Linked DNA regions of Diceros bicornis minor. The protein of the gene in region 1 interacts with the protein of each later gene in a pairwise test. Links are inferred from orthologs where the notes say so. Each region holds a gene or a part of one and is shown on either strand. Other genes may lie near its edges.

What was found.
Region 2: the proteins of FLACC1 (region 1) and SULT2B1 interact in binary tests that used the Homo sapiens proteins (3 or more experiments, as listed by UniProt). The two-hybrid records come from large-scale screens. The link is inferred for Diceros bicornis minor from reciprocal best matches to the Homo sapiens genes FLACC1 and SULT2B1.

Annotation. Positions count from the first base shown.
Region 1 is NC_080749.1:79,199,389-79,215,356, forward strand, and holds the start of FLACC1 (flagellum-associated coiled-coil domain-containing protein 1), read right to left. Parts: upstream 6,776-15,968; coding exon 6,663-6,775; intron 6,162-6,662; coding exon 6,087-6,161; intron 1-6,086.
Region 2 is NC_080773.1:24,216,306-24,233,067, forward strand, and holds the start of SULT2B1 (sulfotransferase 2B1), read left to right. Parts: upstream 1-9,204; 5' UTR 9,205-9,238; coding exon 9,239-9,288; intron 9,289-13,035; coding exon 13,036-13,175; intron 13,176-16,762. UniProt on the Homo sapiens protein: Sulfotransferase that utilizes 3'-phospho-5'-adenylyl sulfate (PAPS) as sulfonate donor to catalyze the sulfate conjugation. Responsible for the sulfation of cholesterol.

The DNA.
Region 1 (15,968 bases):
ATGTGCTGACAAGAATGGTTAGGCCTTGGTGTATGACATTAGGCCCTCTCCTCTCTGTCTCAACATACGCTCACACATGGACTCATACCATCAGGGGACTGCTATGAAGATAGACACCCAAAACCCGCTCTAGAAGTTCCATTTTCCCCATGATGCAAACGACCATATCACTAGGGGTTGTGGAGTTGGTTACCATGCTGGGACTGCTCCAGAGTCTGTGGGTAACTCTGCCTGTGGGGCGTGGGGTTTCCCTGGTGGAAGCAGCTCCACCTCGGTTAATAACTACCAGTCTGGTCTCGATCCCACATCTCCCACCCCCAGAGGGGGCCTCCACAGAGGCACTGAGGGATCGCCTCAGAAAACCAGGCCAATGATTTGGCTACCTTAGATGCGACCATCAACCTTTGATTTTAACTTTAACAGGCAAAAAAAATTATTCTCTGTGTTAAAAAACGGCATGACGCTTGTCAAGCCATGCTGTGGCAGCGTCCCATATAAAGTGGAGGAAGATGGGCACAGATGTTAGCCCAGGGCCAGTCTTCCTCAGCAAAAAGAGGAGGATTGGCAGATGTTAGCTCAGGGCCGATCTTCCTCACAAAAAAAAAAAAATGGCATGAATGCACAATACACACGGATAATACAATGGGGCCCACATGTAATTTATTTATTTATTTATTTTTTTGTGAGGACGATCAGCCCTGAGCTAACGTCCGTGCTAATCCTCCTCTTTTTGCTGAAGAAGACCGGCTCTGAGCTAACATCTATTGCCAATCCTCCTCCTTTTTTTTTTCCCCTCAAAGCCCCAGTAGACAGTTGTATGTCATAGTTGCACATCCTTCTAGTTGCTGTATGTGGGACGCGGCCTCAGCATGGCTGGAGAAGCGGTGAGTCGGTGTGCGCCCGGGATCCGAACCCAGGCCGCCAGTAGCGGAGCGTGTGCACTCAACTGCTAAGCCACGGGGCCGGCCACCCACATGTAATTTACAAGAGGACTTTCAACCATTTAAAATGCAGCTCAACTCATATCAACCACATGCTCCCATTCATAAACCTGAAACTCTCCTCAATGGTGATTTGGTTTGCTTTCTCCGAATTCAGGAAAGCCTTGGGTGGGGGTGAGGGTGGGGAACCACTGGGTGGCCTGGGTCTCTTTAAAAAGCTAACAATGGATTTGAGCTTATGTATTTTTTTGCTCTCAGCAAACCTCCTCGAGCAAACAGAGACCTTCCCCATTCACTTCAGAACCGCTGGAGGGGTCAGAGAGGAGCTTCGTGGGTGCTCATTGTGTCGTATAACTGTGTTTCTCTCACTGACAAGTTTTACTTTACTTCCAGATAAGGTCGATTCAGAATGACTCTCCTTTACTCTTTTTGTCCATGTCAACCTACTCAGATTACTCCAATTACACAGACCAAATTGTGACACTTTGTCAATGCAGTAGCCAGATCAGTCCCTTCGAAATGCAAGTTGGGTCATGTCACTTCTCTCAGAATCCTCTGATGGCTTCCCATATGTTATGGGCTAAGTAGTGTCCCCCCCAAAATTCATATGTTGAAGCCCCAACCTCTGGTGTCTCAGAATGCGACTGCATTTGGAGATTGGGCCTTTGAAGAGGTGATTAAATTAAAATGAGGCCATTAGGATGGGCCCTAATCCAGTTTTACTGGTGTCCTTATAAGAGAGACTAGGACACGCAGAGACCCCCCCCCCCACCCCAGGGATGCGCATGCACAAGTGAAAAGGCAGCAAGTGGGTGGCCATCTGCAAGCCAAGGAGAGAGTCCTGAGGGGAAACCAACCCTGCCGGCACCTTAGTCTTGGATCCAGCCTCCAAACTGTGAGAAAATATATTTCTGTTGCTTAAGCCACCCAGTCTGTGTTTTTTTGTTATGGTGGCCCCAGAAGCTAATACACCACCCCTTTCAGTGTAAAAGTCACAGTCCTTATGGTGGCCAGCAAACCTTACTGTATGAGTTTCCTGTTGCTGCTGTAACAAATTACTACAAGCTTGGTGGCTTAAAACAACACCAACTTACTATCTCACAGTTCTGGAGGTCAAAGTCTGAAATGGGGCTCACTGTTGCTAGGGCTGTGTTCTTCCTGGAAGAATATGCTTCCTTGCCTTTTCCAGCTCCGGAAGCTGCCCCTGTTCCTAGTGGCCTTTTCCTCCATCTTCAAAGCCAACAATTGCATCACTCTGACCTCTGCTGCTGCTGCTTTTTTTTTAAATTTTTTGTTTATTGCAGTAACATTGGTTTATAACCTTGTATAAATTTCAGGTGTACATCATTATACTTCTATTTCTGCATAGATTACATCATGTTCACCACTCAAATACCAATTACAACCCATCAGCACACACATGTGCCGAATTATCCCTTTCGCCCTCCTCCCTCCCCCCTTCCCCTCTGGTAACCACCAATCCAATCTCTGTTCCTATGTGTTTGTTTATTGTTGTTATTATCTACTACTTAATGAAGGAAATCATACGGTATTTGACCTTCTCCCTCTGACTTATTTCACTTTGCATAATACCCTCAATGTCCATCCATGTTGTCACAAATGGCTGGACTTCATCATTTCTTATGGCTGAGTAGTATTCCATTGTGTATATATACCACATCTTCTTTATCCATTGGTCCCTTGATGGGCACTTAGGTTGCTTCCAAGTCTTGGCTATTGTGAATAACGCTGCAATGAACACAGGGGTGCATGTACCTTTACAAATTGGTGTTTTCAAGTTCTCTGGATAAATACCCAACAGTGGAATAGCTGGATCATATGGTAGTTCTATCCTTGATTTTTTCAGGAATCTCCACACTGTTTTCCATAGTGGCTGCACCAGTTTGCACTCCCACCAGCAGTGTGTACGAGTTCCCTTCTCTCCACATCCTCTCCAACACATGTTGTTTCCTCTCTTGTTAATTATAGCCATTCTGACGGGCGTGAGGTGATATCTCATCATAGTTTTGATTTGCATTTCCCTGATAGTTAATGATTTTGAACATCTTTTGATGTGTCTGTTGGCCACCTGTATATCTTGTTTGGAGAAATGTCTGTTCAGGTCTTTGGCCCATTTTTTAATTGGGTTGTTACTTTTTTTGTTGTTGATATGCATGAGTTCTTTATATATTTTGGAGATTAACCCCTTATCAGAAGTATGGTTTGCAAATATCTTCTCCCAGTTGTTAGGTTGTCTTTTTGACTTGTTGATGGTTTCCTTTGCTGTGCAGAAGCACAGCACACTTCTGTATCCTCTACTCTGCTTTTGAGTCCCTCTAGTGAATTTTTCATTTCCAGTATCGTATTCTTCATTTCTGATTGGTTCTTTTTCATATCTTCCATTTCTTTGTTGACATTCTCACTGAGTTCATCTATTCTCCCCACATCAGTGAGCATCCTTAACACTCTTAGTTTGAACTCTCTGTCAAGTAGGTTGCTCATTTCTGTTTCACTTAGCTCCTTTTCTGGAGTTTTGTCCTGTTCCCTTACTTGGAATATATTCCTTTGCCTCCTCATTTTGCCTCTTTCCCTGTGCTTGTGTCTACGTATTAGGTAGGTCAGCTACATCTCCTGCTCTTGGATAGGTGACCTTATACAAATGATGCCTTATGAGGCCTGCAGTGTGCTCCCTCAGTTCTCAATGTTCCAGGGGTGACCCCTATGTGCCCTATGTGTGTCCTTCTGTTGTGGCCTGTTTGCTCTCCCTGTATGTGCCCAGGTAGGCCGAGTTATGCTCCTGGTCAGCTGTTGTAATGCTCAGCTGTTTGTAGTTGTTGTGGGCCCCTCAGTCTCTTTATCAGGTGTGCGGAGCCCCAGCTCAGTTGGCTGCAAGTTCTAATACCACATTTGTGTTGCAGTATTTCTTTTAAGTGAGTAGGCCCCCAGCGTGGCAGGTTGCTAGGCTCAGGGGCTTACAATTGCTGTAAGCCTCCAGCCTTTATGTCTCTTGTCAGCTCTCTGAGGATTGCAGCTGGGCGGGGCTGGCCTCAGGCACCGGAGCATCCAATTGTTTCAGGCTTTGGAAGGTGAGGCAAACCCACTATGTGGGTCTTCGAGAAGCACAAGTCTTCTGCAGCTGACAAACCCTGCCGCCCACAGGTCCACACACACAGTCAACACAGTCCTGCCCCGTGTGCACGCCCCGACCTCCCAAAGTGGACCCAGTCTCTCCACGGCAGCAGCCCCACACACTCCACCACTGCCCCACACTCTCCACCCGCTTCTTGCGCACGCCCTGCCCCACTGAAGTGGGCTCAGTTGCCAGGCTGCAGAGAATCCAGTCACCAATCTATGCATGCCCACAAGTTGCCTGAGGGCTTGTTGTTGGGTGGGGCCAGTCTGTAGGGTGGGCTGCCTGCCCTGGCTGAGCTGGATTAAATTGGTGCTCTGGTGGGTGGGGCAGACCTGGGCTAGCAGGCCCCAGGGAGAACTCCAATGGCGTCCTTGTCAGCACACCCACACCAGGCCACAACAATGGCCGCAGCCAATGTCTCAGTCCCTGGAGAGGTCTCACCTCTCACCGAGATGCACTCAGGGCCTATCAGGTGAGTCTCTTTTCACCAAAGCACTATGCACCTTTCTTTCTGGTGATTTTCGGTTGCTTTCTGAAATGGGTGAGTTTGTGCGTGGGCCCTTTAAGAGCTGGTTTTAATTTCTTTGTGAACCAGCTTTTCTGGGGGTATTCCCCAATGTTTTACTGGCAGGCAAAATCAGATATTATGCCACTTGTCTCGATTGTGCTGGGTCCACAAAATGCCCACAGTGGGGGCGCTCCCCGGCTCAGGGCCCCACTCCTCCAGGGAGGGCTGCGGACCTATGTGTTGCTCCCGGGTGGCCGTGCAGCTGGCAGCTTGTGAAGGTGGCATTTTTTCTCTCCTGAAGGGAGTTTCTGCCTCTTCCACCTCAATTAGGGTTGTCCTTTGTTGCAAGGGTTCCTCTTATCCAGTTTTCAGTTCTCTCTCAGGGGTAATTTTTCCATGAATAGTTCTAAATTGGCTGTGTCCGCGGGAGGAGGTGTGCTCAGAGTCTGCTTACGCTGCCATCTTGACTTCCCCCTGACGTCTGCTTCTATTGTCACATCTCCTTCTCTGTCATGTATAAGGACATTTGTGATTACCTTGGGCCTACCTGGATAATCCCCGATAATCTGTCTAGCTCAAAGTCAGCTGATTAGCAACCATGATTCCATCTGCAATCTTAATTCCCCCTTGGCAAGTAAGAGAACATAGTCGCAGTCTCCAGGGAATAGGATGTGGACATCTTTGGGGGCATTATTCTGCTGACCACACTCATCATCTCTGTTACTTCTCTGAATTCATCCCCCCGCCCCACTTCTCCACTCCCACCACAGTGGCCTCTTTGCTTTCCTGGAAAAAGGCAGACATGCCAAGCAAGTTCCTATCAGGGCCTTTGTTCTGGCTGCTCCCTCTGTCAGGAGTGCTTGCTCCAGATATCAGCAAGTCCTGCTGTCCCCTTCACACAGGGACTTGCCCTGACCTCCTTATAAAATAGCACTGTGAGCCCCAGGAAAGCAGACTTTGCTGTGTTCACTGCTGTTTCCCACACCTGAAACAGTGCCTAGCAAATGATAGATGCTCAAGAAATACTTTCCAATAAATAAATACATGGAATACATAGATTCGTGCAAAGGCCTAAAACTAAGTTACATGTCTAAGCTTATAAAATACGGGTAAAAATTTTAATTTATGAGTAAAGACAGAGTTGGAATCTACAGAAAATCTTAGACACATTAGTAAAAGGGTGAGTCATCACCATAAATACATGGGGGGCTCTTTGCCTGTGACATGCGTTGGGCATTGTGGCCTTTTAGGGCAGGAAACAGCTATTGGGGAACCCCAGTTGAGAGCTCATGGGTAGTGACTTTGAAAGCTGTGGGTGCAGAGGGCCTCCGAGTCTACAGGTAGGACCTGAGGTTTGGGGGGAATCACAGTGGATTCTGGCAATTCTCTGACACCCCTGGCAGCAATTGGTTGAAGTCAGGCAAGGCTGTGGAGGCCAAGGAGGGAGATTATTTTATTCACATACCTCAGACTATCCCTGCCCCATGGACATGAAAATACTTACTTTGGGGTGACAACAGGTTTTGTTGTTGGTTGGACATAATTTTGTCTTTTTGAAGCTGGAGGAAGAAGAGTTAGCCTGAAAGTGAAAAATAAATGAAAAAGAAAAAATTGGAAATTCAGAAACCTGTTGTAGCACCCCCAGATGAGGCACATCCCCACGGTGACCCCAAATCAGAATATATGGTCTGACAACTGAAATCTTTAAAATTGGGATGGTCTTAGGAACCTCAGGCAGAAGGCCTTGGCACTTGTTCACTGTCCCAAGGGGTCCCCGGGTTGGCAGCACAGCTCAACCCCCAGTTCCCAAAGCTCTTTGTCCCACAGGAGGGGCAGCTGCCATGGGCCTTTCCCTGCAGCACTAACCCTGAGATGCCCTCATTTAACATGACACCAAGCTCGGCAGCACCAGCAATAGCAATGTGCAGGCAGCGGGCCAGCAGGAAAGCTGGCAAAGTGAGGCTTCCTGGCCCTCTCAGGATTTCTCTGCCAAGCTGACTGTCTGGAAATCTTGTGAAAGAAAGAAGGCTGCAAATGGAACCCAAGCCCCAGGCCCCACTCCACCCCAGATAATCCTCACTTGGGCTTCCCTGGGGAGGGCTTGCTTGGTGGCTGAGGGGTCTTGATTAGCTTCCGTGTTCCCGAGTTCCAGGGGTCCCGGCAGGTGCAGTAGATGAGAGGGTTGGGGTACATGGCAGGAGGGCAGGGTCAGTCTTGGCTGCTAGGTCAGGAGGCCCTTGCTGAAACAGGAAAACGACAGCAGAGAGTTACACGTTCAGAGTCAAAGCAACAAACTTAGAGACAAATTGGGAAGGACCCAGGGGAGGCCCAAAGCACAGACGGTAGATTCTGGAAGCTGTTGATCTGGTGCAGGGTCTGGACGATAGAAGGACACCTCACCACTTACCATCCAGTGGACTTGATTTGAAAGCAATTTAAAATTTGCCATAGTTGAGTGCTTACTGTGAGCCAGGTATACAATAAGTGATTAAGTATTGTTATCCCAGTTCTATAGATGAGGACACTAAGGCTCAGAGCAGTCACGGAGGAGCAAGTTGCAGAGTTTTGAGAACAAGCACAAGTCTACCTGCCCCTAAGCCCTTGCTCTTCCTTCAGGTCACACTAGCTCTCACTGAAGTGAAGAGAAATCCCTACAGCAGGTCCTGCACAGAACTTTCTGGAAAATTGCTCTTTTACTCAAACTACAGTGCAAGTGAATTTCCTAGTTTCTCATTCTTGGTCACCTGCCTGAATTACACAGTTGAAACCTCTTCCTTCTTGGCTCCAAAAAAACAAAACAAAAAACAAAAATCTCTATTATGAAGGTTTGCACGAAAGACAACTCTCAGATGAACATGGAGGCTCAATCACACTTATCTTCTTTCTTTTGCAGAACCTCACTAAAATGAGAGCACAGGATTAAAAGAGGGTTAATTCCATAAGAACAAAGAGAACAGGAGCGGCGACAACATTGCACAAGGGATGTCAATCCACGTTTGGCACAATGACTCCCTCACTTAGCCTACATGCCTGCAGAGGGAGTACGAACCAGAAGGAGCCAATTCCATGCAAAAGACCCCAAAAGACTCCGAACTTGGAACTGGTAGATTATCTGATGATGCTGATAGGCATTTGACAGACCTGTTGGAGCACGTGGTAGGTGGAATGATGCCCCTTCCCCTCAAAACATGTCTGCATTCTAATTCCTGGAACCTGTGAGTATGTTACCTTACATGCCAACAGGAGCTTTGCAGCTGTGACTAAGTTAAGGATCTTGAGAGGGGGGATGACCTGGATTAACCATGTGAGCCCAGGGTAATCACAAGCGTTCTTATGAGAGGAAGGTGGGAGGGTCAGAGTTGGAGCAGAAAATGATCAGATAGGAGTGATTGAGGAAGGGGCTATGAGCCAAGGAATGTGGGCAGCCTCTAGGGGCGGGGAAAGGCAAGGAAATGATTCTCCCTATAGCCTCCAGAAGGAAGGAAGTCCTGCCAACACCTTGATTTTAGCCCAGTGAGACCCACTTCCAACTTCTGACCTCAGAACTGTGAGATAATAAATTGGTGTTGTTTGAAGCCACTAAATTTGTGGTAATTAGTTACAGAGTTTTCATAACAGGAAACAGAGCATTTGGGGGAAAATTAGCAATAGAAACATAGAAACCTAAGAAAATAAAAATTGCATAATTACTTCAGGTTAAAAAGTATGTATAGAGAGGAGAAGTCAAGATGGCGGTGTAAGCAGACTCTGAACTCACCTCCTCCCGCAGATACAGCCAGTTTACAACTACTCGTGGAAAAATTACCCCTGAGACAGAACTGAAAACTGGATAAGAGGAACTCCTGCAACAAAGGACAATCCTAATTGAGGTGGAAGAGACAGAAACTCCCTTCAGGAGAGAAAAAACGCCACCTTCACAAGCTGCCAGCCGCACGGCTGCCCGGGAGCAGCCGAAAGGTATGCAGCCTCCCTGGAGGAAGAGGACGCTGAGCCAGGGAGCGCCCCCGCTGCGGGCATTTTGTGGACCCAGCACAACTGAGACGATTGGCATAATATCTGACTTTGCCTGCTACTAAAACATTGGGGAGCACCCCCAGAAAAGCTGATTCACAAAGACATTAAAACCAGCTCTTAAAGGGCCCATGTGCAAACTTGCCCGTTTCAGAAAGCATCCTAAAATCACCAGAAAGAAAGGTGCATAGTGCTTTGGTGAAAAGAGACTCACCTGATAGGCCCTGAGTGCATCTCGGTGGGAGATGGGACCTCTCCAGGGACTGGGACATTGGCTGCGGCCATTGTTGTGGCCCGGTGTGGGCGTGCTGACACAGATGCCATTGGAGTTCTCCCTGGGGCCTGCTAGCCCAGGTCTGTCCCACCAGCTAGAGCACCGATTTAATCCAGCTCAGCCAGGGCAGGTAGCCCACCTAGAGACTGGCCCCACCCAACAACAAGCCCTCAGGCAACTTGTGGGCATGCATAGATTGGTGATTGGATTCTCTGCAGCCTGGCAACTGAGCCCACTTCAGTGGGGCAGGGCGTGCACAAGGAGTGGGTGGAGAGTGTGGGGCAGTGGTGGAGTGTGTGGGGCTGCCACCATGGAGAGACTGGGTCCACTTTGGGAGGTCGGGGCGTGCACACGGGGCAGGACTGTGTTGACTGTGTGTGTGGACCTGTGGGTGGCAGGGCTTGTCAGCTGCAGAAGACTTGTGCTTCTCAAAGACCCACATAGGGAGTTTGCCCCATCTTCCAAAGTCTGAAACAATTGGATGCTCCTGTGACTGAGGCCAGCCCCACCCAGCTGCAATCCTCAGAGAGCTGACAAGAGACATAAAGGTTGGAGGCTTACAGCAATTGTAAGCCCCTGAGCCTAACAACCTGCCACGCTGGGGGCCTATTCACTTAAAAGAAATACTGCAACACAAATGTGGTATTAGAACTTGCAGCCAACTGAGCTGGGGCTCTGCACACCTGATAAAGAGACTGAAGGGCCCACAACAACTACAAACAGCTGAGCATTACAACAGCTGGCCAGGAGCATAACCCGGCCTCCCTGGGCGCATACAGGGAGAGCAAACAGGCCACAACAGAAGGACACATGTAGCCTATATAGGGGTACCCCTGGAGCATTGAGAACTGAGGGAAGCACACTGCAGTCCTCCTAAGGCATCACTTGTATAAGGTCACCTATCCAAGAGCAGGAGATGTAGCTGACTTACCTAATACGTAGACACAAGCACAGGGAAAGAGGCAAAATGAGGAGGCAAAGGAATACATTCCAAGTAAGGGAACAGGACAAAACCCCAGAAAAGCAACTAAGTGAAACAGAAATGAGAAACCTACCTGACAGAGAGTTCAAACTAAGAGTGTTAAGGATGCTCACTGATGTGGGGAGAAGAATAGATGAACTCAGTGAGAATGTCAACAAAGAAATGGAAGATATAAAAAAGAACCAATCAGAAATGAAGAATACGATACTGGAAATGAAAATTTCGCTAGAGGGACTCGAAAGCGGAGTAGAGGATACAGAAGAACGGATCTGGGAGCTGGACAAAAGACTAGAAGAAATTACCCAAGCTGAATAGGTAAAAGAGAAAAGAATTAAAAAGAGTGAGGACAGTCTAAGGGACCTCTGGGACAACATCCAGTGCACTAACATCCGTGTTATAGGTGTCCCGGAAGGAGAAGAGCGAGACAAAGGGGGAGAAAATCTATTTCAAGAAATAATAGATGAAAACTTCCCTAACCTAAGGAAGGATGCAGACATCCAGGTACAGGAAGCACAGAGAGCCCCAAACAAGATAAACCCAAAGAGGCCCACACCATGACACATCATAATCAAAATGTCTAGAATTAAAGATAAAGAGAGAATCCTAAAAGCTGCCAGAGAAAGACAAGTTACATACAAAGGAAGCCCCATAAGGCTATCAGCTGACTTCCCAGCAGAAACCTTACAGGCTACAAGAGAGTGGCACAATATATTTAAAGTGCTAAAAGGAAAAAACTTACAGCCAAGAATACTCTACCCAGCAAGGTTATCATTCAAGATGGAAGGAGAGATCAAAAATTTCCCAGACAAGCAAAAATTAAAGGAGTTTGTCACCAAGAAACCAGTGTTACAAGAAATGTTAAAGGGACTGATTTAAGGGGGAAAGAGAAGACCACAAATAGGAAAAATTATCTATTTCCATGATAAGAGGGAAATGGATACAAATGCACAAAAAAGAGGTTAGATATGATATCAAAAACATAACATGAGGGAAGAGGGGAGTTAAAGAGTAGAGCTTTCAGACAGAAGCCAAACTAAAGAGACCATCAATTCTGTACAGAAAGAGAAAGAAACAGAGAAGGACTAGTAAAACACTGAGAAAAAAGTTAAAAAATGGCAGTAAGTACATACCTATCAATAGCTACTTTAAACGTCAATGGACTAAATGCCCCAATTAAAAGGCATAGGGTGGATGATTGGATAAAACAACAAGACCCATATACATGCTGCATACAAGAGACACACTTCAGACCTAAAGACACTCACAAACTGAAAGTGAAGGGATGGAAAAAGATACTCCATGCAAATGGCAATGAAAAGAATGCTGGGGTAGCACTACTCATATCAGACAAAATAGACTTTAAAACAAAAACTGTAAAAAAGACAAAGAGGGGCATTACACAATGATCAAGGGAACAATCCAACAAGAGGATATAACACTTGTAAATATCTACGCACCCAAAGTAGGTGCACCTAAATATATAAAGCAATTATTAACAGACATAAAAAGAGAAATAGACAGTAACACAATAATAGTAGGGTACTTTAACACTCCACTTACACCAATGGATAGATCATCCAAACAGAAGATCAATAAGGAAACATTGGCCTTAAATGACACACTAGAACAGATGGATCTAGTAGATATATACAGAGCATTCCATCCAAAAACTGAAGAATACACGTTCTTTTCAAATGCACATGGAACATTCTCCAGGATTGATCACATATTAGGCCACAAAACAAGTCTCCATAAATTTAAGAAGATTGAAATAATACCAAGCATCTTTTCTGACCACAACGGTATGAAACTGGAAATCAACTACAGGAAGAAAATCAGAAAAGCCACAAATATGTGGAGATTAAACAAAATGCTACTGAACAACGACTAGGTCAACGAAGAAATCAAAGAAGAAATAAAAAAATACCTGGAGACAAATGAAAATGAAAATACGACATGCCAGAATTTATGGGATAAAGCAAAAGCGGTTCTAAGAGGGAAGTTTATAGCAATACAGGCCTATCTCAACAAACAAGAAAAATCTCAAATAAACAATCTAACAATGCACCTAAGGGAACTGGAAAAAGAAGAACGAACAAACAAAGCCCCAAATCAGTAGAAGAAGGGAAATAATAAAAATTAGAGCAGAAATAAATGAAATAGAGACTAAAAAAACAGTATAAAAAATTAATAAAACCAAGAGCTGGTTCTTGGAAAAGATAAACAAAATTGACAAACCTTTAGCTAGACTCACCAAGAAAAAAAGAGAGAAGGCACAAATAAGTAAAATCAGAAATGAAAGAGGAGAAATTACAACAGACACTTTAGAAATACAAAAGATTATAAGAGAATACTATGAAAAACTATATGCCAACCAATTCGACAATCTGGAAGAAATGGATAAATTCTTAGCATCATACAACCTTCCAAAACTGGATCAAGAAGAAGTAGAGAATTTGAATAGACCAATCACCAGTAAGGAGATTGAAACAGTAATCACAAAGCTCCCCAAAAATAAAAGTCCAGGACCAGATGGCTTCCCTGGTGAATTCTACCAAACATTCAAAGAAGACTTAATACCTATCCTTCTCAAACTCTTCCAAAAACTTGAGGAGTGGGGGAAGCTCCCTAACTCATTCTACAAAGTCGACATTACCCTGATACCAAAACCAGACAAGGACAACACAAAAAAAGAAAATTACAGGCCAATATCACTGATGAACATCGATGCAAAAATCCTCAACAAAATACTAGCAAATCGCATACAACAATACGTTAAAAAGATTATACACCACGATCAAGTGGGATTTATTCCAGGTATGCAGGGATGGTTCAACATTTGCAAATCAATCAACGTAATACACCACATTAATAAAATGAAGAATAAAAATCACATGATCATCTCAATAGATGCAGAGAAAGCATTTGACAAGATACAGCATTCATTTATGATAAAAACTCTGAATAAAATGGGTATAGAAGGAAAGTACCTCAACATAATACAGGCCATATATGACAAACCCACAGCTAATATCATCCTCAACGGTGAAAAACTGAAAGCCATCCCTCTAAGAACAGGAACCAGACAAGGATGCCCACTCTCACCACTCCTATTTAACATAGTACTGGAAGTCCTAGCCAGAGCAATCAGGGAAGAAAAAGAAATAAAAGTGATCCAAATGGGAAAGGAAGCAGTAGCATTTCTATACACTAACAACAAATGAGCAGAAAGGGAAATTAAGAATACAATCCCATTTACAATTGCAACAAAAGGAATAAAATACCTAGGAATAAACTTAACCAAAGAGTTGAAAGATCTGTATACCGAAAACTATAAAACATCGCTGAAAGAAATTGAAGAAGACACAAAGAAATGGAAAGATATTCTGTGCTCGTGGATTGGAAGAATTAACATAGTTAAGATGTTCACACTTCCTAAAGCAATCTATAGATTCAATGCAATCCCTATCAAAGTTCCAACAACATTTTTCACAGAAATAGAACAAAGAATCCTGAAATTTATATGGAACAAAAAAAGACCCCGAATAGCTAAAGCAATCTGGAGAAAAAAGAACAAAGCTGGAGGTATCACACTGCCTGATTTCAAAATATACTACAAAGCTATAGTAACCAAAACGGCATGGTACTGGCACAAAAACAGACACACAGATCAATGGAATAGAATCAAAAGCCCAGAAATAAACCCACACATCTGTGGACAGCTAATCTTTGACAAAGGAGCCAAGAACATACAATGGAGAAAAGAAAGTCTCTTCAACAAATGGTGTTGGGAAAACTGGATAGCCATATGCAAAAAAATGAAAGTAGACCCTTACCTTACACCATACACAAAAATTAACTCCAAATGGATTAAAGACTTGAATGTAAGACCTGAAACTATGAAACTTCTAGAAGAAAACATAGGCAGTATGCTCTTCGACATCGGTCTTAGCAACATATTTTCAAGCACCATGTCTGACCGGGCAAGACAAACAATAGAAAAAATAAACAAATGGGACTACATCAAACTAAAAAGCTTCTGCACAGGAAAGGAAACCATCAACAAGTCGAAAAGGCAACCTAACAATTGGGAGAAGATATTTGCAAACCATACATCTGATAAGGGGTTAATCTCCAAAATATATAAAGAACTCATGCATCTCAACAACAAAAAAAACTACCAACCCAATTAAAAAATGGGCCAAAGACCTGAACAGACATTTCTCCAAACAAGATATACAGGTGGCCAACAGACACATCAAAAGATGTTCAAAATCATTAACTATAAGGGAAACACAAATCAAAACTACAATGAGATATCACCTCATGCCCGTCAGAATGGCTATAATTAACAAGACAGGAAACAGCATGTATTGGAGAGGATGCGGAGAGAAGGGAACTCTCACACACTGCTGGTGGGAGTGCAAGTTGGTGCAGCCACTGTGGAAAACAGTGTGGAGATTCCTCTAAAAATCAAGGATAGAACTACCACATGATCCAGCTATTCCACTGCTGGGTATTTATCCAAAGAACTTGAAAACACCAATGCATAAAGATACATGCACCCCTGTGTTCATTGCAGCATTATTCACAATAGCCAAGACTTGGAAGCAACCTAAGTGCCCATCAAGGGATGAATGGATAAAGAAGATGTGGTATATATACGCAATGGAATACTACTCAGCCATAAGAAACGATGAAATCCAGCCATTTGTGACAACATGGATGGACATTGAGGGTATTATGCAAAGTGAAATAAGTCAGAGGGAGACGGTCAAATACCGTGTGATTTCCTTCATTAAGTAGTAGATAATAACAACAATAAACAAACACATAGAGACAGAGATTGGATTGGTGGTTACCAGAGGGGAAGGGGGGAGGGAGGAGGGCGAAAGGGATAATTCTGCACATGTGTGTGGTAATGGGTTGTAATTAGTATTTGGGTGGTGAACATGATGTAATCTATTCAGAAATAGAAGTATAATGATGTACACCTGTAATTTATACAAGGTTATAAACCAATGTTACTGCAATAAACAAAAAATTAAAAAAAAAAAAAGTATTGTATAAGAGAGTAAACATAATCCCAGTAAGGTGCACACTCCTATATGTCGATGTAAACACTTAGTAGTCATTTAACCAAAAAGCTAATTGTGACACACTGGAAGATTTGGGGGCAGGGAGGGGAATGGAGGGAGGATGTACAAGCGCTAAATCCTCATCTGTCATCCCAGGAAGTCAAGAGAGTGTCCATGACTGAAAAATTAACAAATGGAGTAGAGGCAAACTATTTAGAAGTATGAAGTTAAATTCCAAAAGAAATAGCTAAGAGAGTTGAAAACAATTGCCTCTAGGGAGCTCACTGAGGAGAACTGAGAAGTGAGGAGGGGTAGGGCAGAAATTGTGACTTTTCATTAATGAATTTTTAACATGATCTGATTTTTAAATATTGTCAGTGGATTATTTGATAAAAAATAATGCCAAAAAATGTTATGAGAACCAAGAGACCAAAAGAAGCATTATAATGACAGCAGATTAAACTCAAATTTCCAAGTCAGTGACTGGTTTCCAATAGTATACTGGAATAAATGTAATTAAGAATCAGCTGAAAAATGAAACAAACTTTTTTCTATAAGATGACTGAAGCTTGAGAAACCCAGTTATGTGGTCTAATGACTTTTAGAGCCAAAGGGGACCTTAGCATTGAATCTATTTTACAGACAAGGAAACTGAGACTCAAAGAAATGAGCGATGCCTGGGCCACCTGTAGACGCTCAGTGAGTAGCAGGAACACTCATTCACCCCGCTGTTGAGTCCGCACCAGATGCTGAGGCGTCTGGAAACCTGTGCTTGCCCTCAGGGAGCTTCAGCCAGTAGGACAGACATCAGAAAGGGAGCTGAGTGAGCTGGGGAGCCAGGGCAGGAGACCCGGCCTTGGAAGAAAGACGAGGTATGCAGGTGGAGGCGGGTGCAGGAGGGGCTGGGCAGGGGGCTGGGCTCAGGGCGCCTACTCCACGTGGAGTGAAGGCCAGGGCTAGAAAGGAGGACAGGAGACTGGGTAAACAGCTCAGGCCCAAGGACCAGCTGACGGCCACCACATCTGGCTGTGCTGCTCTGCT
Region 2 (16,762 bases), on another chromosome or scaffold:
GTTGCAAAGATACACTTTACCAAATTGCTGTAAGTTGTAGACAGCTTAAGGGAGAGGAGAAAAAGGGGTCCTTTACACCTGGAAAACACAACATTAAAGCAATCATCCTCCACTCGAGTTCCATAAATTCCCACCCAGTTCAGTGTTATGATCTTAAAGCTATCAAAACCTGTATTCCAGAGTACTTGTCAAAGTCTTTTCCATGAATCTCTTTGAAAATGAAACATATTTGTAAAAGCATCAGAGTAAAACAATAACTGTAACTGACAAAAAGATTTTTAAAAAGGCAATGGGTAAATACAATTGACAAGAAAATTTGGGTATTTTTGTGACATATCTTTTAGATAGTAACAGGAATTACAGGTAATAACATTATATTTGCATATCAGAAGTTTAGGAATTTTATACAATCTCTAGAAAACCTTTTAGTAACATTTACCCATATCATATAACCTAAAAAGGTTTATTATTGCTTATTCAACCATGCTTCTGATGTAATTTGACATACCAAATAAACCTAATTAATGTAATGTCTCTGTTTTTTCTAAGGAAAGGGAATAAATTTTTTGAGATGTCCCAGGCGCCCTCTAGAAAATCCAAAGTTACATTCAGGTCGAAAAGACTTCATGTAGAATTTGAATATTTTGAAAGGCTTGTCAAAAATATCAAAAGGTTTGGACACTTGATCAAACAGGATCACAGATCAATATAAAATAATACTTAAGTATCTATTTGACCAAAAGTAACAATAACAGGTTTCAAAGGCAAATACAAAAGGTTACATAGTTGTAAGCAAAACTTAACTCCTTCAATATTAAGAAGGCTCAGTTTTCTTAGGTAATTAAAGAGCCGATAGAAACAACACAGGAAATTATTTTGATAAAACAATAGCCTCTCTTCAGGACAAAATCATTTTCTTTTCCCTTAACAAAATGCATTTCCATTCCGTATACCTTCCTTTACTGAAATACACATCTTACTTTCTTTGCATACAGAGATGTTTCCTTTTTTTATTTCTAGTAGCTTTAGTTACACATATTAGAATTCTTAACCCTTAGAATCCCCCGTTCCTGGTAAAACTATGAAGTAAGCAACTGTGGACTGTATTAGCATTTTGTGGCTTAAACAAAGCCACAACTTAAAAGACCTTTTATAAATTTCTAGAAACATGTACGTTTTTTTCACAGAAAATTGCTGAGCATGGCATAAAACATGTTCACTAGTAGACTCAAATATCTTTAGTTTCTCTGTGATAGGAAGCCAAAAGTAGATAAATTTGTGCTCAGTAATTAACGTTTTAGTATTTTATCTTGTTTGGAAAATGATTTAGAGATTCAATGACTATCCATTTAGTTTAACTTAGCATAAACTTTGATCTTACTTACATTTATTTTAATTACTTGCTTTTAACAATCATGCTTGGATTAGACGTTAAATAGCCAACGATCATCTTAAGTTACTTTCATTCTGACAAATTTGGTAACAGAGACAGCAAGAGCCTACTTGACTAGTAAACCTAGGCAGAGAGAAAAGTTACACATTTGCATTATACCCAATGTTAACAACTCTGATGTGAATGTTTTTTATTTACGCCAACGACCTTAAGCTAGCTTTTATTTACTAAGATATCCTAGATCACATGAACCTGAAAAGCATTTAAGTTAGTTTCTATTATATTTCTGAGATTTAGGAATACTTAATTTATAAGCACTTAATTTCAAGCCAACTAAATAGAGCTTTTCACAAATCAATTCTAGCGAAACCATCCAGAGGTAGAAAAATATCACATCTCTATAACATACATACATAGACACAGAGACAGACATAAACAGAGATCTCATAGCTTTCATTTTAAAACCGTGTCTCAGGTACAAAACTCTAAAGAATAGTTGGATCCAAACTGTATCTCTGGCAGATGGACTAAGTTAAGGTTACTTGTTCAGGTGCCCAAAGTCTTTTACCAAAGATTTTTATTTGCATGTTGTAAAGATCCTTTTAGAGCTGTTTTTGGAGTCATTTGATCTATTATCAAAAGTCTAGGGTAATTGTTATTTAAATTTTTCCTTCTAGTTTATTTGCTCCATTTAACTTAGAAATAGTAATTAAGGGCTTAGCATTTGAACTTTCAGAAGGTCTGATTTCAAAGGGAGCAGGTTTTCGAAGAGGGGAAATGAGGAAGATGGTATCAGGGGCAGAGCCTGGACACAAGAAGGATGCCAGGGCGGAGTCTGAGACAAAGGTTCTGGGAAGACAAAGAAGATGGCACTTGAGACGAAGAAGAAGGGGGAGGGGAACATGAGGCTTCAGAGTCCATTTTGTTCTCCTTCAGTTCTTTCATTGTTTCTGCTAATTTAGACAAGGCACCTTGTAGAGTGGTAATTTTAGAGCTTTGTGCATATTCAGAGGCCTCCAGGTACCAACAAAAATAGACATGCCATTCATTTTGCTTAATTTTAGAGGCTCAGTCTTCCAATTTGGTGTTAAGTAAAGCTAGTTTGGGGAGACTGAAAGTTTCCCAATATGGCCATTGCAATTCTGGACTGCTTTTGGTCGTTTGGCCCACTTAGTTAAAAATGCACGTGTAGGAGGCCCACAGTTCTTAAACATAAACCCGGCCAGGATCCCTGAAGGAGAGTTTCCCTCAGAACATTTAGATGACAGGAATCCCATTTCTGAGATTTCCTCTGAAAACCCATGAAAGTTGCTCAAGTCCTAGTCCTGATCCCCAAAGGAATCTAAAAACAAAGGAAAAGTTTCTGGGTTCCCAGCCCTGATTCCAAAAGGAATCTGGAAAATAAAACAAAACAAAAGAAACCTGGATTTTCAGCAAGCCCAATCCCCGAAAGGAGCTATGCTACCTTCGGAAAACAACCAAGTAGTCTCCAAGGGTGATGCCTTGAACTCAAGGACAGAGCCTTGACTGAGACGACAAAGTCCCTCCCCTGACAGGACCAAGCTTCTCCTGATACCAAATAAAGTCTGAGAGCTCAGAACACAAAGGGGGTGGAGCTCAAAATCCAAGAGAAGACTCACCAACTCACACAAGCGATGAGCACAAGGGGCTGGGTGTGGGTACCTGGCTCAATTCTGTGGGCCGCCATCTCTCTGGGGTTGTCTCCTTTGGATCCCACTTTTCTGACACCATATATGTCAACTTAAAAAGCAAATTCGCCTGTTATTTTATACTCAAAATGAGTTTATTTGGGAATAGCCAAAAAGAATTGCAATTTGGGACGTGCATGCTATGGCAAACCACAGGCAAATCCAGAAAATAAAGGAATGGAGCTGCTTTTATAGAGAAAAAGGGGGAGTAGGGAGGGGCTGTTCTAAACAAGTCCATTGGGGGAAAGTAACAGTTCTGCACAGCAATGGCTTCTCATTGGCTGAGCTGCAGCATTTCTCATTGGCTGAGCTGTGGTGTTTCTCATTGGCTGAGCTACGGCATTTCTTATTGGCTGAGATGCAGTGTTTCTCATTGGCTGAGCTGCAGCATTTCTCATTGGCTGAGCTGTGGCGTTTCTCATTGGCTGAGCTGCAGCATTTCTCATTGGCTGGGCTGTTGCCAGGTGGGGAGAGAAATCTTCCTTCAGTAGTAAAGCAGTTTTATTTCTTGTCCAAGAGGCAAGCATCTGTCTCTTCCTGTTTGGTGTAATTGGCGATGTGTGATAGGGCGTGAGAGCTCCCCCTACAGGCCTTCCCGACTCCAATTTAGCTAAGATTTATTTTATTTATTTCCACAGTTGGAAGAATTATCCAGTGAACACTCTTCTATCCACCACCGCTCAAATTTTATTATATTTGTCTTATCGAATATCTGTGCATTCTTCTACCCACTTATCAATATTTCTTTTTCGTGATGCATTTCAAAGTAAATTGCAGACATCAGAACATTTCACCCTAAACATTCCAGGCTGCATATCATTAAATAGATTTCAATATTCGTTTATGAGTTTTTCTTTTAGTAGATGCAGTTTATGCACAGTATGCTGCACAGATCTAAAGTGCGCCAGTTTTGAGAAATATACGTGTAGCCTAAACTCCTATTGAGACATAAACACCTCCTCTTCAATGACTGGATTCCAGTGTTGGCAGGGCCCTAGTTTATTTATCCAGTTATGATTTAATTTATCCAATTCCGGGTTGTTCAGGTTCCTCTTATCAACTATGTTGCAATTAACATCCTGGTATATATTTCCTCAGGGGCTTCCTCATGGGCACCTATCTATTCCGTAAATTTCTGGGAGTCACGTTCATTTGTGCATCCAACAAATAATAATGGAGTCGCACCTGCGTGGCAGACGCTGGGACATCGTAGAGGGAGCCAATTTCTGCTCCCTCTTAGCTTCCCTACTAGTGGGGAAGATTGACTTAAAGAAGAGGTCAATGGACAAAGAAAATATTACTAAGTATTAAAAGAGCTGTGAAAGAGGCAAACAGGTAGCTGAGATGGGTAATGATGGCATGGAGGGGGTGTCCCCTGCGAGGTGGTCTGTATAATGTCAATACTGCCAAGCCATCTCCCAAAGAGGTTGCCCTCATCACGCTGCCGCTGAGAGCTGGCGAGGGAAAGAGTCTGTTTCTCTGCAGTCTGGCCAAGGCATGAGTCATTCCGCTGAGGTGGAGGTGCCCAGAGATGGGCTCCATGCGGAATTTCAGGAGGTGAGGGAGGGTGCTTCTGTCCGGAGAACAGCCCAGGCAGGCGGGACGGCTGGACACTGCACAGTGTGTTCTGCGGCTGAGGCACGTTGAACACAGCTCAGGCTCTGAGCTTCTTGGCAACGCTCCCCGGAGAAAGTCCAGTTGACCACGGGTGCCCTCTGTGAGTCAGCAGGACAGCCTGCAGCCACATCGGGGTCCTGGAATGGTGGGGCCGCTCACAGGAGGGGGCACCTGTTCCAGCCCCACACAGACCGCAGCCTCCCAGCAGCCTACACTCTCACCCCTTTTGCTCACGCTGTTCCCTCTGGTACCCACACACGGTTCCTTCCCTCACCTCCTTCAGGTCTGCTCAATATCACCTCCTCAGAGGGCCCTCCCCTGACTCCATCCATCTAAAATTGCAATCCCCACCCAGATACCCCCTATCCCCCTCTGCTTCATTTTAGTCCATCACCATCCAGTATACTACACTTAAAACATCATGTGTTAACTTTATGGTTCATTCAAACGTAAACTGCAATCGGGTTTCTTGTCAATTGCACCCACTCCTGTATCCCCCCAGCGCCTGCCATACAGTGGGTGCTCAAGAAATATTTGTGGGGTGAATTAATAAATTTGCTCCATCTCAGGCAAAAAGGCCTAAAGCTCTCAGGAATGGGGAGCTCTCTTTGAACATCAGACTGAGAGGTCCCTGGAAAAAGTCCCATGTCCCGTCCCGTGATCCCCCCCCAACACACACACACACTGCTTATTCTTTTAATGATACCAGAGAGGGCTTGTGAATGGCCTCAGGTCACAGAGCAAATCCAAGGCAGGCCTGTGAGGTAGGCGGGCGTTGCTTCTCTGCACATCCCTGAGTATCCAAGAGGGACACTGGCCCATCGGCGGTTTTGTTATAATAATGCCTGATGGGCATTAAGCATTTACGGGAACAAGGCTCTTTTTTTTTTTAATTGATGTTTTAATGGTTTCTAACATTGTGAAATTTTGGGTTGCGCATTTTTGTTTGTCCATCACCATATACATGACTCCCTTCACCCCTTGTGCCCACCCCCCACCCCCACTGCCCAGGTAACCACAGTCCAGTTTTCTCTGTCCGTGTGTTGGTTTATATTCCGCATATGAGTGAGATCATACAGTGTTTGTCTGTCTCTTTCTGGCTTATTTCACTTAACATAATACGCTCCAGGCCCATCCATGTTGTTGCAAATGGGACGATTTTGTCTTTTTTTTATGGCTGAGTAGTATTCCATTGTATATATTTACCACATCTTCTTAATCCAACCATCAGTTGAGGGACATGTGTTGCTTCCACTTCTTGGCTATGGTGAATAATGCTGCAGTGAACATAGGGGTGCATAAGCCTCTTTGGATTATTGATTTCAGGTGCGTTGGATAGATTCCCAGTAACGAGATGGCTGGGTCATAGGGCATCTCTATTTTTAAGTCTTTGGGGAATCTCCATACCATTTTCCATAGAGGCTGCACCAGTTTGCATTCCCACCAGCTGTGTGTGAGGGTTCCTGCTTCTCCGCATCCTCTCCAACACATGTTGTTTTTTTGTCTTGGTGATTATAGCCATTCTAACGGGTGTGAGGTGATATCTTAGTGTGGTTTTGGTTTGCATTTCCCTGATGATTAGTGATGTTGAGCATCTTTTCATGTGCCTATTGGCCATCTGTATATCTTCTTTGGAGAAGTGTCTGTTCATTTCCTCTGCCCATTTTTTGATCGGGTTGTTTCTTTTTTTGTTGTTCAATTGTGTGAGTTCTTTATATATTATGGAGATCAACCCACAAGGCTCTTTTTAAAAAAAAAATCATAGGATAAAATTAATTTTTTTGTGGGAGTGTATAGTTTTATGAATTTTAACACATGTATAGATTTGTGTAACCATCACCACAACCAGGATACAGAACTGTTCTGTCATCTCTTTGTAGCCACATCCTCCCCCATCGCTAACTACCCTCTCTTCCCACCCCCCACCCCCACCCCCACAACTACGGATCTATTCTCTGTCCATATGGTTTTGTCTTTTCAAAAATGTCGTATTAGTTTCCTGTTGCTGCTGCAACAAATGACCATAAACTGAGTGGCTTAAAGCAATATAAATTTATGCTCATACACTTCTGGAGGTCAAAAGTTTGAAATCAATGTCATTGGGCTAAAATCAAAGAGTCAGCAAGGCTGCGTTCCTCCTGGAGGCTCTCGGGCAGAATCCATTCCTTTCCGTGCCTTTTCCAGCTTCTAGAAGCCGCCTGCATTCCTTGGCTCATCGTGGCCCCTTCCTCCATCTTCAAAGCTGGTGGTGTAGCATCTTCCAATCTCTCCCCTTTCTGACCTCTGCTTCTGTTTTTACACTTTCTCTGACCCTCCTGCCTGCCCCTTATAAAGACCCTTTGATGACATTTAGGGCCCACCCGGATAATCTCTCCATCTCAAAATTATTTCTTTTTTTTTTTTTTTTTTGCGAGGAAGCTTAGCCCTGAGCTAACATACGTTGCCAATCCTCCTCTTTTTGCTGAGGAAGACTGGCCCTGGGCTAACATCCATGCCCATCCTCCTCCACTTTTATATGAGACATTGCCACAGCATGGCTTGACAAGTGGTGCCTCAGTCCGTGCCTGGGATCTGAACCTTTGAACCCCGGACTGCCAAGGCGGAGCGCTCGAACTTAACCACCACACCACAGGGCCGGCCCTCTAAATTCTTAACATAATCACAGCTGTAAAATCCCTTTTACCACCAACGTAACATATTCACAGGTCCGGGGATTAGGACAGTTAGGACGTGGACATCTTTGGGGGCCATTCTTCAGCCCACCACAGTCATACGAATGGAAGTGTATACCTTGTGACTTCCTTTGTCTGGTTTCTTTCACTCAGCTGAAGACTGAGACTCTTTGAGACTCATCCTGTACCTGAACTCAATGGGTTCGCCCCTTGGTGAGTGCGGAGCAGAAAAGCACAACCAAGGCAGAGTGGGTGAAGAAAGGTTTATTCCTTGCACAAGCAATGGGGAACACAGGGGATATCTCCCAGAGCAGTGTCTCCCCCAACAGGGCGTGAGGGGTCCTTTTATGGTTAGATCAGCGTGCAGTTCACGCATATTCAGTTAAGGAAAAGGCAGGAGATCGGGGTTTCCCGCCTCCCAGCCACGGTCTTTTCAGGCGCATGCGTAGTAGGATCTAACACTGGCTGCTCGGCCCCTCCCGGAGGAGGAGGAGGATTTAAGAAGCTAATGAGGGCAGAGCACCTGAGCGCAGTGAGAGCTGATTATAGCAGGAGTCGAGACGCTGTCTTGTGAGCGATCTCTGCGGTTGGGTTCTTCCTGTTTTTCTGGAGCCTTGTCTGAAAAACATCTGACCGTTTCTGCTAGTTGTTAGCCAAATCCTCAGTAACCCTTTTTCTACCTGTTTTCCTGGCTACCTGGAGACAATCTGCATGGTTGTCAGCATCAGTGGCTTGTAGCATCGCACGGGACGCAGGTACCACTATTTATCCGCTCCCCCCGCAGGAGGACACTTGGATTGTTCCTCGTTTTTGGCAATTATGGATAACGCGGCTGTAAACACAGAGCACAGATGTTGGGGCGAACATAAGTTTTCCTTTCTCTTGAGTGAACCCCCAGGAGGGGAGAGACTCTGCTTTAAAATCTGCGCTTATATTAAGCTATTTTGTGGAGGTACCTTAATAGACAATATATAAAATAATACGATATAATAATAATAAGATTCCCCTGGGAGTTAAATATCCATGTCACCAAGAGGATGGAGGTGGAGACTAAGACTCAGAGAGGATATGTGAGTTGCCTGCGGTCAAGTCTATGTCTTCCTGACTACCCCCTTCCCCCACACCCCTGCACAGAATGAGCACACCCAGGGAGAACCACATGAAGGGGCCGGGAGGTCCCACCCCATGGCCCCAGGTGGTTAGGGGCAAAAACTGTGGGGCCACACAGCCTGGCTTCAAAGCTCAGCTCTGTCCTCTGCAGCTGTGTGACATTAGCCAAGTGCCTTCGCCTCTCTGTGCCTGCATTTCCTCCTTTGTAACACGGAGGTAGCACTACCCCCCGCCTCCTAGGGCCCTTGCGGAAATAAGTGAATTAAGGCATACACACAATGTAGTGGGGAATGCAGTGCCAGGGAGCGCGGTCAGCGCGATTTTTCTTTCTCCAACAAATATTGACTGAGGCCGCCTTTGCGTATGCTGGTGTTCTGGATATATCGGCAGTCAAGACAGACTGAAAATAAAAATAAAAATCCCTTGGCTCACGGAGCTCACACGCAAGCAGAGAAGAAAGGCAATAGTCAACATAACATGCAAAGCATAGAGAGACTCAAAAGGTGACAAGTAGGACAGGAAAACAAAGCAGGCTGTGGGGTGGGTGGGTTCACTTATGGACAGGGTGTCAGGGGAGGCCTCAGACCTGCAGGAGGTGAGGGGGCCAATCACAGGCCTGAAAGGAAGACAGAGAACGACCAGTGCCAAGGTCCTGAGGCAGGACTCGGCCCGCCGTGCTGGAGGGACAGCAAGCACACCAGTGCGGCCAGAGCTGATAAAGAAGGAAGAGAGCTGAAATGAAGGCAGAGATGGATCACAGCAGAACTCTGAGGTCCTTCCCGCTACTGCGAGGACTTTGCTTTTTTTGTGTGATACGGGAGGGTTCTGAGCAGAGGAGGGACAGGAAGTGACTCAGGTTCCAACCAGATCTCTCTGGCTGCCGTGTGGGGAGACGGACGGGAGGGGGCAAGGGTGGGAACAGGGAGATCAGTAAGGAGGCGACTGCAATAGTCCAGGCAGCTCTAATCCTTTCCAAGTTCCCTCAAAGGAGGCCTTCCTAGCCTCCTTCTCCAGCTGAGGAAACTGAGGCACAGAGAGGTTAAGCCATGTATTCAAGGTCACACAGCTAGTTGGTAGCAGAGCCTGGGTCCAAATCAAAGTCTGTCCGACTTCAGCCCATCTTCCTTCCCCTCTGCGTGGGCCAGGCTGCCTCTGTAGGTGGTGACTGAGCCCCCACTACCAGGGGATCTGAACTGGGGACATGTTTGTTTAGTGCACACCTGTCGTGTGCCAGGCGCTAGGGATAAAACACTGAATGACACAGACAAATTGTGTCCTAGTGGTAGAGGGAGGGGTGAAGGCTCATTGACAGTTGTTTACCGAGACCTCCTATGAAGACTGCTGTGTGACCTTGGAGACATATATTAACCTCTCTGGGCCTCCATTTCTTCTGACGTGAAGTGGCGCTCTCCATACCCACTTCATGGGGTTCTGGGAGAAGTCTGTGATAATGCGTGTCTTTGGCATAGAATTTCCATAAGGGTGGCTCCCCTGCCCCTCCTCCCCTGCTGGGACCAGAGGGAAGTCAGCCACGATCCTGGAGGTCTGACGAGGCCAGAGGAGCGGGCAGGCCCAGGCTTTGTAGGACCTTGAGTTTCGGGCTGAGGGGCTGCAGCTGTTTGGAGGATGGACAGGAGGGAGACACTGGAGGCCAGGAGATCAGGAAGGAGGCTATGCTGAGGGTCCACGGGGCTGAGCAGGAGACCTGAGCTGGACCAGGGCGGTGGGGACAGACGGGGAGGGCCAGGGCCCTGTGGACTGTGGGGGTGGGAGGCAGGACGGTCGATGTGCTGGGACATTCTTAGAGTCACATGGCCTGGGGTCTCAGGCCAGGCCAGGCCAGGCACCTTCTAGCAGGCTAACCAGGTCCTCGGCCAATTCTCCGTCATGTTGGCCGTAGCTCCGCCAGCTGTCCGTCCTGCTGCAGGCTTCTGATCCAGCTCAGTGGTCATCTTCATTCCTCCGCTCCAATCGAGCGATCGCTGCGGGCCGGGCACCGGACATGGCGTGGGAACAAAACGGGCTTGTGACCCAGGGAGAGGAAAGGTCACCCCGGGGCCAGATTTGAGGTACAATGTGGGGAGAGGAGGCACACAGCATCTGCTTTGGGACACACAGTGACATTCAGCCAAGAGGGAATCCGGGTGCAGGGGGGCCTCCTCGACCTCCACGCTCAAGCACAGAGGAGGGCAGAGGAATGGCATTCCTGGCAAGAGGAACAGCAGATACAAAGGCCCGGAGGTAGGAATAATACTCGGTGCATTTGGGGGCTTTGGCTGGAGTGTGGGTTGCATGGGGAAGGAGGGACTGGGACAGAGACTGTCTACAGGCTGAGGTGCAAATCCCACTCTGCTTGGTACTTGCTGTGTGGCCTTGGCCAAATTGCTTTCCCTCTCTGAACCTCCATTTTCTCATCTGTCGTATTGTAACGTGCAGGGAGATCCCAGCTCTACCCCATTCATGCCTCGATTACTTATTAAATATTGATGCTCATTATTTATTGAGCAACCAGTTGTTCTAGGCTCTGAGGGTGCGGTGGTAAGGCTTGGACACTGTTGGCCTGGAATGAGGCCAGGCTTTGGGAGACTCTAAAGGCCCCAGGGGGGATTCCGGGTTTGGGGATCCTTTATAAAGTCCCTACAGGCGATTCCCAAGTGCCCGGGGCTGAGAACCACTGAGGCGGGTAAAAGGACATAACAAGTGATCTTGGGCTTTCTTTCATTTTTGTCCCTGATAAACCACTTCATTCATTCGTTCACACATTCATTCATTCATTTGCACATCCATTCATTCGTTCGCACATTCATTCAGTCAGTCAGTCAAATACCAGTTGAGAACCAACGATGTCCCCACACTGTGGATTCCACCTTGGCTTCCTAGGATGGGGCTTGGACCCGCGATTTGGAGATTGTAGGTGCTGAGGGAGACGGGGGGGGGGGCACCCTCGTATTTATTCATTCGTGCATTCAAGGACTATTTCAGGGGCTCGTGAAGGGCGCAGGAGCTTCTCCTCGCTGGCGACTCCGTTTTCCTCTCCTGTAAGCTGCGGAGGAGATTTCTCCTTCAAGGAGCTGCTGGTGAGACCGAAGACAGAAATAATGCTGAATGCTAAAGGGAGCCTCCCTGCCCTGAGCATCCGTCAGGAGCCAGGCGCTTAACATATATTATCCCTTTTAAGCCTCAGGTAGGATTAAAATCCTGAGGGAGAGATTGCTGTTATCCTCATGTGACAGATGAGGAAACTGAGGCTCCGTGCGATCCGCTTCCCAGGCCACAGAGAGAGCACGCGTGACCCACGAAGGCGGAGCCAAAGCCCAGGCACTTAGCCGCTAATCTGCCTGGTAACTGATGACCTCACAGCTCCCGCCTACGGAGCTAAATCTGCCTGGCAACCAGTGACATCACTAATCCCACAGCACGTTCAACCAATGGGGTGGCTGATGACATCACAACATTAAGTCATTGCAACTTGCTGAAGGCCTACTGCGCGCCAAACGCGGTGCTAAGGCGCCCCTCCTCTGGGCTCACACAATGCCCAGTGTGGCCTCTACTACTGGGTGTAATAACAATAATTTTAGCTCAGATTTACCAATGCAGACTATGAACCAGACTCTATTTGAGGCATTTTTACATCTCTTGTCCTAAGGGTACTATAAAGGGCCACAGATGGAAAGTAGCTTTCCCATGAAAGCCGGATGAAACGCATCCCCATCTCGACTTCGCCTTAGCCAGGTCCCCAAGATACCCATCCCTCTCCCGCGCCCCGGACAGGTGACCCCAGGGGAGGCGGCGACAGAAAGACAGCGGACTAAACGGATTGCTCTTAAAACATCTCACTTTGGAAAACTTTACGTCAGTGTTTGGTTACATGAACACATTACAGGGGTTTTGGAAAAGAAGCTCGAGCGAGGAGTTTAGACTGTTTTAGCTTCACGGTGACCTCATGTCTGGGTTTCACAGGCGGGCTCTGCTGCTCTGTGGCCGTGTGGGAGTGGGCAGGGCGCCTGACTCTGGCCTGTTTCCTCATTTGTAAAATGGGGTGGTGACTTAGCATCTTCCTCAAGAGGCGGGCAAAGAGTAAACGTATGGAAAGTGGTTTAGCCCCACTTTGCAGATGTGAAGTGCTCCACCAGCTGTGTGGCTTTGGGCAAGTCACTCAACCTCTCTGTGCCTCGCTTTCTTCATCCATAAAGTGGAGATAATAATCATTGTCACCTCATAGGATCGTTGTGGGGTTCTGTAACCATCCCCACTCTGCAGATGAGGAAATGAGGCTCACAGAAAGTTCCTTGCCAGTGCTCCACTAGCAAGTGGGGTGCCCCTGCCCATCTCCTCGCTGGCCCTCCCTCCTGCCCTGAGGTTCCTCACCACTTTCTTCCACCTCGTGTCAAAGCTCTAAAGCTGGACCCCGTGCAGGCTCCTGGGACCTTGGAGGACGCTCAAATGCAGGCCCCTGGCCCCCCACCCTCCCCTGGGTGACCTCTGTCCTCGCCTCCTCCGCGGTCCTCATGGTGTCTCCCTCGCCCTCCCACAGCCAGAATTTGTCAGGCGAATACTTCAGGTACAAGGGCCTCCCCTTCCCCGTGGGCATCTACTCACCCGAGAGCCTCAGCATCGCGGAGAACGCCAACGTGCAGGACGACGACATCTTCATCGTCACCTACCCCAAGTCAGGTACCCGCCGGGCTGGGGGAGGGGCGCCGGGAGAGGGGGCCGGGGACAGAGGACGAAAAGGGCACACTGGGGAGAGTGGGAGGGAAGAGCGGCGGCTCTCCCGGCCCCGGGGAGGCCTCCCCTGACCTCCCTGGAGGAATAGCGTCCCCATCCTGTCCCTCTCTAGCCCCTTAGCTAACCGCATACTTTTCTTCATGCATCACTACCAGCCACTGTATTACATTCTCATGGATTTAGTCTCTGCGTTCCCCACTAGAACAGGAGCCCCATGAGGGCAGATATTTTAGTTTGTCTCGATCACTGCTGTGTTTTTGAGCCTAAAGAAGTGCCTGGCACATAATAAGTATTTAATAAATATTTGTGGAAGGACGGAAGGAAGGAGAGAGGGAGAGAAGGAAGGAAGGAAGGAGGGAGGGAGGGAAGGAAGAAAGAAACAATGAAAGGAAGGAGAGGTGATCTTAATTTTCTCCATTCTGACATTAAAATGCTGCCTACTAATCATCTGCCATGTGTGGAGACACAGCTGTGAACAAGAGAGACATCTGTCAATTTGTTGGGAGAGACTGGCTTTATTTAAACATGCAATCGCCTATATTACTATATAATTAGGGTTGAGGTGGGTCCCCCCAAAGAAAGGTGCAGAGAGCATTGAGTATACGTCACAAGAGGGTCTGGGGGATGAGGACAGCCTTCCTGAGAAGATGTTCGTGCTGAGACCTGAAAGCTGCAGAGACGTTTGAGTAGGAAAGGGTGTCCTAGACAGAGGGACAGCACGTGCAAAGGCCCTGAGGTGGGAGGAGACTCACTGAGTTTGAGGGAGCAAGAGAAGGTCACTGAGGCTGTGGTGGAGGGAGCTATGGGAGAGGCTGAGGGGACACGGCCCGAGGCAGCCTCCCTTGGGAGCCAAGGTGAGGATCTTTGGTGACTTTACTGAAAGTCCCTCGGGGAGGTTTGAGTGAAAGAAGGGATCAATTTCAGCTTTTTCTTCTCTAAAATGATGGGGTTGACTTTTCTTTTTTTGTAATATTTTTGAAATTTTTCAAAATATTACATTACCCTTTTCAGCATAGGGTTGTATGAGGTTTTTTTGGTAACAGTTTCAAGATATAGCTCACATGGCCATACAATTCACCCATTTTAGAGTGTACAATTCAATGGCTGTAGTATGTTCACAGACTTGTGCAACCATCACCAGAATCAATTTTAGAACATTTTCATCACCCCAACAAGAAACCCCACACCCATTAACCATCATCCTCGAATCCTCAGATCCCGGTCCCCAAGCCTCAGGCAACCATTAATCTCTTTTCTGACTCTGTGGATTTGCCTGTTCTGGACGTTTCTTATAAATGGAATCATACAATTCATGGCCTTTTGTGACTGGCTCCTTTCACTCAGCGTGATGTTTTCGAGGTTCATCCACGTTGTAGCTTGTGTCAGTGCTTCATTCCTTTCTGTGGCCGAATAATATTCCACAATGTGAGTGTAGTATATTTTGCTTATTCATTTATCAGTTGATAAACATCTGGGTTGTTTCCACTCTTCGTCTATTATGAATACTACTTCTAGGAACATTAGCAAACACGTCTGTGTGTGGACGTGTTTTCACTTCTCTGAGTTCTTTGAGTGTTGACAGAAATACACAGTCATATAACCACCACTACGATCAAGATATAGAACAGTTCCATCACCCTCAAAAATATCCTTACACATCCTTTTGTAGTCAGCTCCTCTCTTACCCCTAGCCCCTGGCAACCATGGACTTGCTTCCCCTATAGTTTTGCCTTTTCCAGAATGTCACATGAATGGAATCATTCCACACATAGCTTTTGAGGCTGACTTTTCTCACTCAGGACAATGTACTTTAGATTCATCCAAGTCATTGTATTTTTAAGCCCTGAAGAGTCTTCCCTTGTACGGATGGACCACTGTTGGTTTATCCATTCATCCGATGAAGGACATTTGGGTTGTTTCCAGTTCGGGGTGAGTATGAGTACAGATGCTCTGAAGCTTTGCATACAAGTCTATGCATGGGAATATCTTTTCATTTATCTTGGGTAAATACTTAAAAGTGGGATTGCTGAGTCTATGGGAAGTATGTATGCTTAACTTTATGAGCAATGCAAACTGCATTACCATCTTGCATTCCCACCAGCAACATAGATGGGTTCCAGATCTGCTTCCTTGTCAGCACTTGGTATTGTCAGGTTTTTGTAAAGCCACCCTAACAGATGCCTATGAGTATCCACTGTGGTTTGACTTTGCATCTCCCTAACGGCTAACGATGTTAAGCATCTTCTCATGTGCTGATTAGCCATCACGTATCTTCTTGGTAATGCGTCTGTCCAAATCTTTTTTGCCCTTTTTAATTGGGTTGTTTGTTTTCTTATTATTGAGTTTTGAGCATTCTTTATATAATCTGAGTACACATCCTTTATTGGATCTGCCTTTTGCAAATATGTTCTCCCAGTCTGTGACTTGTCTTTTCATTCTCTTTTCAGCATCCTCTCAGAGCAAAACTTATACATTTTGGTGAAGTCTAATTTGTCAATTTGTACTTTCATGGGTCGGACTTTTGATGTCACATCAAAGAATCTTTGCCTCACCCCAGGTCGTAAAGATGTCCTTTATATTTTCTTCTAGAAGTTTTATAGTTTTAGATTTTGCACTTAAATCTATGATCCATTTTAAGATAATTTTTATATCTGGCATGAGGCATAGATCAAGGTTCTTTGCGTTTGGATGTCCAGTTATTCTAGCTTCTTTTTCAAATTTAAAATGTAGTAACATCTCTCTTAAAAAGTAATGCATTCATAGTTCAAAATTCAAGAGGTACAAAGGGTTTACCCGGAAAGATCTCTCTCTGCTCCCACAGTTACCAATAGTCCCTGTGTATCCTTCCAGAATTTGCATACGCAAGCAGAAATGTACATTTTTTGTTTAACTTTTCCCCACAAAAGTTGACACGCTATACACACCATTCCACTTCATGGTTTTGTTTATGTTTTTGCTTTCTTTTTCCTTATATTTTGACATCATCCCATTTTAGAACTATAAACAAAGAGCTTCCTTGTTTTGTTTTGTGTTTTTTTTACAGTTCTGTAGTATTCCATAACATTGGATATACAAGAATTCGTGTTTAACCAGTTCCTTACTAATTAGTATTCACTAGTCTCCAATCTTTTGCCTTTATACACAATATAAACTTTATACACAATGCCGCATCTCACCCATATATTGTTTGCACATGTATGCATTTATCTGTAGAATAAATTCCTAGATATAGGATTGCTTAGTCAAAGGGTCTGTGCATTTGCGGTTTTGATGGATAGAGCCAAAATCCCCTCCATCCATGTTGTAGAAATCTGTTTCCCGAACAGCAGGCTTTGCTAGAAACGGTTTTGATGGTTGCACAACAATATGAATGTAGTTGATGCCACTGAACGGTGCACTGAAAAATGGCTAAGATGGTAAATTCTATGTGATGTATATTTTACCACACACCCACAAAAAAAGAATTATTAACTAGTACCAGGGGATTAAGCTACCAAGGGGCAAAGAGAAACCCAATGGATACAGAAAGAGTA